Caenorhabditis elegans: one gene and its partner. The protein of the gene in region 1 interacts with the protein of each later gene in a biochemical or structural test. Each region holds a gene or a part of one and is shown on either strand. Other genes may lie near its edges.

Region 1 (3,361 bases):
CAAAGAAGATGTGAATTTTGATGAGCTGCTCGACCGGGGTGGAATCCCAAATGTGAAAGGCGGGCTTCCATGGTGATATCCTGACGACAGCGAGGTGATCAGCGCCAACTCCCTTCATGACATTTTTTCAGACGGTATATTTCGATCTAGTTGATCGAGGTTATTTGCCAAAATTCAAAAATGGAGAAGTAATTCTTTACGCAATCACGACGGGTTACGTTTTATGGAACGCTGTTGTTGAACCTAGAGCAATTCGAAGAGGATACCTCAACTTTCTTTTTGGACTTGTTGGTGGAAAGTAAGGATCTAACTAGCTGTAACAACTTGACTTTTTCATTGCAGGATCTCGCTTTTCAATCGACGTCTCTACGATCATTTTGGCTTTGTTTCTCGAGATGTTTACACGAAAATTCCAGAATTCGATCCTAAATATGCAATGATTAATCCTATGCTTTACATGCCACTTGTTGAATAGTTTTTGATCTAATATTTGAAAAAAAACAGGTGTAATATAAAAAAAATAAATTTAATTTTTAATTTGAATTTTCCGATTCAGATTTTAGAATTTAATTTTCTTTTGTTCACTATCTGAAAATGTGAAAAAAATAAACAAAGTGATTTTGCGAGTAATTAACAACGCCTTTATTGTTCATAGACAGAGCATAGAAATATCAGAAAATGTGTGTTGTTAGCTGATAAAAAACACCAAAAGAGATCTGGGGAGATAACTTTCCTTCGGAGGGAAAGGGGGGTTAAGCGACACCAATCAAATTCTAGACAGCAAGAGAGAGTATGAAAAAAGAGAGTGTGAGAGAGAAAAACATATGATTTTTAATGATGAATTCGCCTCAGGAGTTGTTCGAGCAGAAGACGGTCGTCCTCGGTCATTACTTGTTGTTGGCGAACTTGAGCTTCTGAAGAGTCGACAAAAGGTCGTGCATGTGGTCGAGTTGACCGGATCGGCCAAAGCGAACTGCAAAGCAAAATAAACGACACATGAAGCAAAGGCAAAAAGCGGAAGAAAAATTTTAAGACAACTTACCAAATGGTTGTGGGGCACCGTTCCGTTTTCCCTGGAGTGGGCTCTCTGGAGCAAAGTCTTCCTCGTCCAATGGAGACCTCTTTCCGAATCTAACGAGAGCATTTCTCATTCCACCACTAGCTCTTCCAAATCGAACCAAGGCGTTCCGCATGGCACGTTTCTCCGCACTACAATAGATTTATATGGGTAATTGATAAAAATTGTTTTAAGAAAAAACTATACCTGACGTCATCATAAGATTGAGCAAAAGAAGCGGCAACGAAGACAATAAGGAGAAGTGCCAATGCAGAGAATTGAGTCATTATTCAGTATGAACTGCAAAAAGTGAGACGAGCGGCTAGGCGCAGTCTTTTTATACCTGAAACGATGTATTAGGAGGGGGCGTTGTAGATTCCGAAGAGAAAGCAAATAGCCGCAGGACATACTTTATTACTATTTACAAATGGTTTGATGAGTTTTGAACGTTTTAATGAAAAATTTGCGAAATGGATTCTTCTCAAGGAAACTTCTTATGGAAAATAGGATGATGTCAATGGTTTCCAAAACGAAACCGAAGTGTAGGGTGTCTTTGGGCTTTTCAAAAGCAAGAAGTGAATAGATCAAATGCAGGTGTTCTGCGCTCTGAAACGTTCCACAGGCCACGCCTACTTGTGTGTGTGTGTGTGTGAGGAAACTGAGAAAAACGCAAGCAAAAAAGTCATCTTGAAAATAGCATTAAATTTCGGAAAGGAAGGAAAAGCTAGTTTTGCTTTTTTTAATAATGGAAAAAGTACTACAAAATGTGTACAATATTTTGTGAATATTTTGAGGACGCTTGTTCTAGTGTTCTTGAATTTTTAATTTAGAATTGTTATGAAGTTTTTATTCATTTCCAACAGATGCAGAGATTTTCTATACAGAAAACATTCTAATAATTATAATGTATATTTAAAAATTAAAACTTGCAAAAAAATTTCTTGAAAATTTACCAATTTGCCAAAACTTTAATTGAAAATTGTTGTAAAATTTGAAAAAGTTTGAAGTGTTTTATTAATACGTGTCTGGTTTTTTGGAAACATTTTACTTGGTCCAGCACTTTAACTGGCACTTCTCCCAATAAAAGATCGGTTTATTTCCAAAATGCGTGCCTAACTGTTATACCAAACAAATAAAGTTTTTTAAAAATCGGCAGTTGCCGCAAATTTCGCATTGTGTGCCGATGTGCCAAAATTGCCAGAATTTTTGATAATTTTTAATTTTCATCATATTTCAAAAATTAAAAATATATCAAAACTTGATTCAAAGTCATAATCAATAGGTCATTTTCTTACTGAAATACCTAATATTTTGAGGTTTATTGTTTAGCTAAATCACCAGTTCCGGCAATTGTTGGACTATAAACTTTTGGCAATATGCCGAAACTGCCGAAATTTCGACGCACTCCTGTTTACAGAAGATTGAAAAAAAGCAGAATTAGAAGTTTTAAAGTTGAGATATTGGTCAGAAAATCGATTTCATTTTTACGAAAAAAATATTCCAAAAAGTCACAATGGAAAGTTTGAAAAATGACCCGTATTTATATATTCGTGTGTCCTTGTTTGACATGAAACCTTCTTATCGTTTTTCAATCTCCCCCACTTTTGCACTTTTTTGAAAATCTTTCTTTACAAGAAGACGCACCTTGCAAAAAGTGCGCTCAAACACTGATTATGCCAAGCGAAACATGGGTGTGAAACTAGAAAAATAAATTAGATGCAAAATGGATTCGTCTATGCTTTTTCCTCAAATATTAAATGAGTTTACATCACTTGGCGCCGGGATTCGAACATCATAAATTTATGAGTTAGAAGATGCCCACGAAGGTAAGATGCGGAAATATTTGACACGTCAGCAGGTTGTTAAGTTTCGTCGTCACAGTTTTGCATCTTTTCGTATTTTAACTTATATTTTATAATCTTATATTCAATGGAGTGTGGGTGTTTGTGGGTGGAACCAGGATTGAGGATGCTAAAAGTTGTGGGGGAATTACTCTTAACAGATTGAAAAATGAAGTGCGAAAAGATATGAGGAACTCTACTGGAACTGATGGGCCATAAAACCATGAAAACCTCTCTCACCCCATTCATCAACTTTAGAGGCTCAACATTTGGAAAAAAAAGGTTTGGGCTTTTGGGATACTTGTTTTTCTTTCTCCAGATCTTTCCAACTTTGGGGAACTAGTAAGCCACAATGGTTTCATAGAACTTGATGAATAGTCAGAGGGAACAATGAAACCTACAATGAATCGAACATCAAATGAAACTTGATATGAATAAATGATAAGATCACTAGTGGAACGGA
Region 2 (3,756 bases), on another chromosome or scaffold:
ACGTGAACTATATTTGAGATTGGTGAAAAATAACTTAATTTTGATTTTTAGAATTTATTGGGAAGCGAAAAAAGTTGATCGGTCTTCAGGATTCGTCTACAATTTTATTACTTTAAAAAAAATTGCGCCTATTTATTTGAATATATTGGAAGTTTTTCTTAAAACATCTATCAGCAAGCTCCAAATTTGTAGTTCAAGTTCCAAACATTATTTTCTGAAAATTGGTTATTCCTTTAGATCACAATTTTTATTTGTTTTCTTGTTCGATATAATAAAACCTTTAGGAGTATTCCTAGAATTTTAAAGAATAGAAAATATTTATATTTCATAACAAACACCAATCTTTATAAAAAATAGAACTTCACCTCTTCGTGCTCACAAAATGCAAACTTCTAGACCTCCTTGAAGTGATCTCCGTATTTTTTCATTAGTTAGACATAGTTTATGCTTTCACCTACGTTAGCGCTCAATATATAAATATCCCTTTATCCCTCTGTTAATTCAAATACTTCCTGATCCCTCCGAAATTTCAAAATGAAAGGGGTTTCAAGCTACTTGCTTTTTTCGGATTCTCTTAATGAGTTTGAATGTACTTTAAAAAACCAATGCTTTCATGAGTAGGATATAAATTAGCAACTAACTTTCCCGGGACCTCCTACACTTTGTTGCTCAAGTACGTCCCGCCCATAAGCTGTTCGTGGCTCCCCATCTCCGGACCCAATAATTGCCCTCATAACGTGTTCGTTTCTCCTTTGTTATCTGAATCTTCTTCGCGTTTTTCCTTTTCTTTTTTTCCCTACTTTTTGCTCTTCACTTCTGTTTCTTCAATGTTTTTATTTGGGGGCTTCAAGTATTAATGATCACGTCTGAACCAGGTAGTGTTGCAAAAATTCTTGATAATTACTTTTTCTTGTTCCTTTTCATTTTATAGTCTAGCCTTTCCAAATAGGTCAATTGAATTCTCTAGCAGAAAGATACTGGGGAAAAAATAAAAGATCAGGTAATTTTAATCATGTCATACCTACGTGCCTACCTATACCTTTTTGAATAAATGTTGGAACATTAAAGGTTCAACTATCAAATTAGAAAAAAAAGTACATCTTGTTTACTTCAACAATAAACAAGACGCAATGGTAGGCTCTTCAGTTTACAATCTAAAATTTTCCGAACCTTTTTCAAGTGTCTGCGAATTTCTGTGAATTTCAAAGAATTTCGTGGAAAATGTCACAGAACGGATTTTTATGAAAATTTTCGGAGAAATGCGAATTCCTCAATTTTTGTAGGACCAAAAATAACTCGGATTCTCAGTACCCACCTGTTTTTGAAAGCACGTCTGAGCCATAGGCAACGCCAAATATCTGAAGCCTGAGTCTAAACCAAGCCTAAGCCCAAACCTAAAATCAGAATCCAGGATCTGATGACAAAGAATCGTGCACTAATTTCAGGAATATGTCCCACCCCCACGGAAGTGCATTATGATGAGATGAATCTATATGAATTATTAAAGTTGTTTGGAGAGTGTGTGTGGTGAAGCTGTCAGTTAGCAGGCTTTATTTTGTTTGCGATCCATCTTTTCCTATCTGGAAAATTTGATGAAGTTGTGAGCATTTCAAGAACATGGGGTTCCCCGAAGAGGAACAATTGTGCCCCTGTTTCCAGTTGCCACCAAATGAACAGCTGAGCAATATTCATCAATTAGCTCAATTTCCTCCCTCCATTTTCTTATTTTTTCTTCAGTTTTCTTGGACATCTCTATTTTTACGTTCTGTATTCTATAGGATGCTAGTATTTTAAATATGTTTTATATGGCGTGGTGCACAGGTGTTGTGCGCACCTTCTATTTCTACATTAGGTGCCTCAGCAAAATGTAAGCCTAGGCTGCCTAGAAAGAAGGTTTTAAAAGTATTAGAGTGCTATGACGTCATGCGTATCTTAGAAAATAATATTTCCCTTATTGTCTGTGTTCTTCCTTGCATTCACTGTTCCTCTACGCACCTTGAACTTTTGCATTTTCAGCTCATAAATGCACAATTGACCAACAAACATCTTCAACTTCCACTAAACTCTCACAAAAACAATGTTGCTACTACTCTCCCGGGTTCTGGTGAACGTGATGGTGCTGATGTGCTTTGGTGGAATTCTCACGAACTTCATCTCATTCTACATCTACACTCGTAAAACATTCCGGAAAAAGAGCATAAACGTCTTGCTCGCAGCCTTGTCAATGTCTGACCTTTGCGTCTGCGTTCTTGCAATTCCAGTTTTTGCAAGTACTCAACTTCAACAAGTCATTCCGCCAACAATTACTGCAATGATCATGGTGTACTTGTATCCAGTGACCATAATGTTCCAGTCAGTGTCAGTATGGTTGCTGGTATCCATAACAATTGACAGATACTTAGCCGTATGTCATCCATTCATGGTCAATACGTATTGTACAAGGAATCGCGCTCTCATAACTGTTGGAGTTGTCGTGATATTCAGTGTTGCTTACAATTTGATTCGAATTTGGGAGTACACGATAAATTTCGATGTCGCTCCTGAGAATCGTACGATTGAAGATCTTGTTGTACCGAAGCTTCGAGCAAATCCGCACTTCTTATTGTGGTACCAGAATGTTGCCACGTTGGTGTCGCAATTCGCATTTCCACTTACAGTGTTATGTGTTCTCAACATTCAAGTAAGTTGGTTACAATGGGTTGAGGAGTAGGAGTAGGCCTTAGGCTCAGGCTTATGCTTAGATGTATGCTTAGGTTTAAGCTTAAACTTAGTCTTAGGCTTAATCTTAGATTTAGGTTTCGGCTTAGGCCTTGGCTTAAGCTTAGGCTGAGTCGTATGCTTAGGATTAGGCTGAGTATTAGGCTTAGGCTTACGTTTAGGCTTGGTCGTGTGCTTAGGCTGAGGATTAGTCATGGGTAGGGTCAGTATTACATCCTAGACTTAACTGAAGGTAGGACATTATTTTTATTTATTTAGATAAAGCATGTAATCCTAAAAACGATTAGTTTTAGTGTAACTGCCCAAATTTTCTAACAAAGCAATTTTCCAGGTAGCGCGAACAATTATCGAGGCATCCGAGCAACGAAGAGAACTAGTGGCAAGTGTGAAACGAGAACATTCGACTGCAAAAATGATGATAATGGTTGTTTTAGGTAAGATTCATTTTTTGGATATTCTAGAAATCGGATTTTTGCTCAGTGGTCGTGAAAATGAAAATACGGTCACACTCATAGACTGATAGAAGGGATTTGCGGTAAAAATTTGTTTTATTTTTTTCTACCTACCGCGAGGACAAACCCAATCTTAAAATTAGTCACTAGTTTTGAGAAACATTAAATTTTTTGGATAGCATTTGATGAAAAAATTATTTACATATCCCCAATACAATTTAGTATTAAAGTCAACAAAGTCATGAAGCTTTCAGTATTCCTCGTTTGCTACATCTTCTCATTTATTCTAAATATATGGGAAATTCTTGACAAGGAGACTTTTGGAGGAGATATTGGTTGGTTTATGAATGACATCAACAATGTACTTATTGTTGTCAACTCGACGAGTGCAATTGTTTTCTACTATAAATATTCAACAAGGTAACGAGACCTTTAATAAATAGAATATTAAATTTTTTGCCCATTTTAGGTTCCGAAATCAAGCACGGACACTTCCCGGGATACGGTGGTATGCTAGTATGTCAAAGTTCAATGTATATGATACAGAGGCAACATCAAATCGAACAATGGTCACTAGATACAAAGG

The links.
Region 2: of the proteins of flp-11 (region 1) and frpr-3, one has a biochemical effect on the other in vitro, tested with the Caenorhabditis elegans proteins (one study listed by BioGRID).

What each region holds. Positions count from the first base shown.
Region 1 is NC_003284.9:4,676,723-4,680,083, forward strand, and holds flp-11 (SPLDEEDFAPESPLQ-amide), read right to left. Parts: upstream 1,401-3,361; 5' UTR 1,345-1,400; coding exon 1,265-1,344; intron 1,210-1,264; coding exon 1,043-1,209; coding exon of another isoform or gene 1,029-1,042; exon of another isoform or gene 974-1,028; coding exon 888-973; coding exon of another isoform or gene 832-887; 3' UTR 612-831; downstream 1-611. Other genes in the region: tmem-135 (Transmembrane protein 135 homolog), read left to right, coding at 132-298, 343-475. UniProt on the Caenorhabditis elegans protein: FMRFamides and FMRFamide-like peptides are neuropeptides. Induces sleep-like quiescence behavior following release from RIS interneuron. Helps to sustain locomotion stop after gamma-aminobutyric acid (GABA) induces fast slowing response.
Region 2 is NC_003283.11:7,769,251-7,773,006, forward strand, and holds the start of frpr-3 (G-protein coupled receptors family 1 profile domain-containing protein), read left to right. Parts: upstream 1-2,010; 5' UTR 2,011-2,077; coding exon 2,078-2,680; intron 2,681-3,049; coding exon 3,050-3,152; intron 3,153-3,424; coding exon 3,425-3,590; intron 3,591-3,639; coding exon 3,640-3,755; intron 3,756-3,756.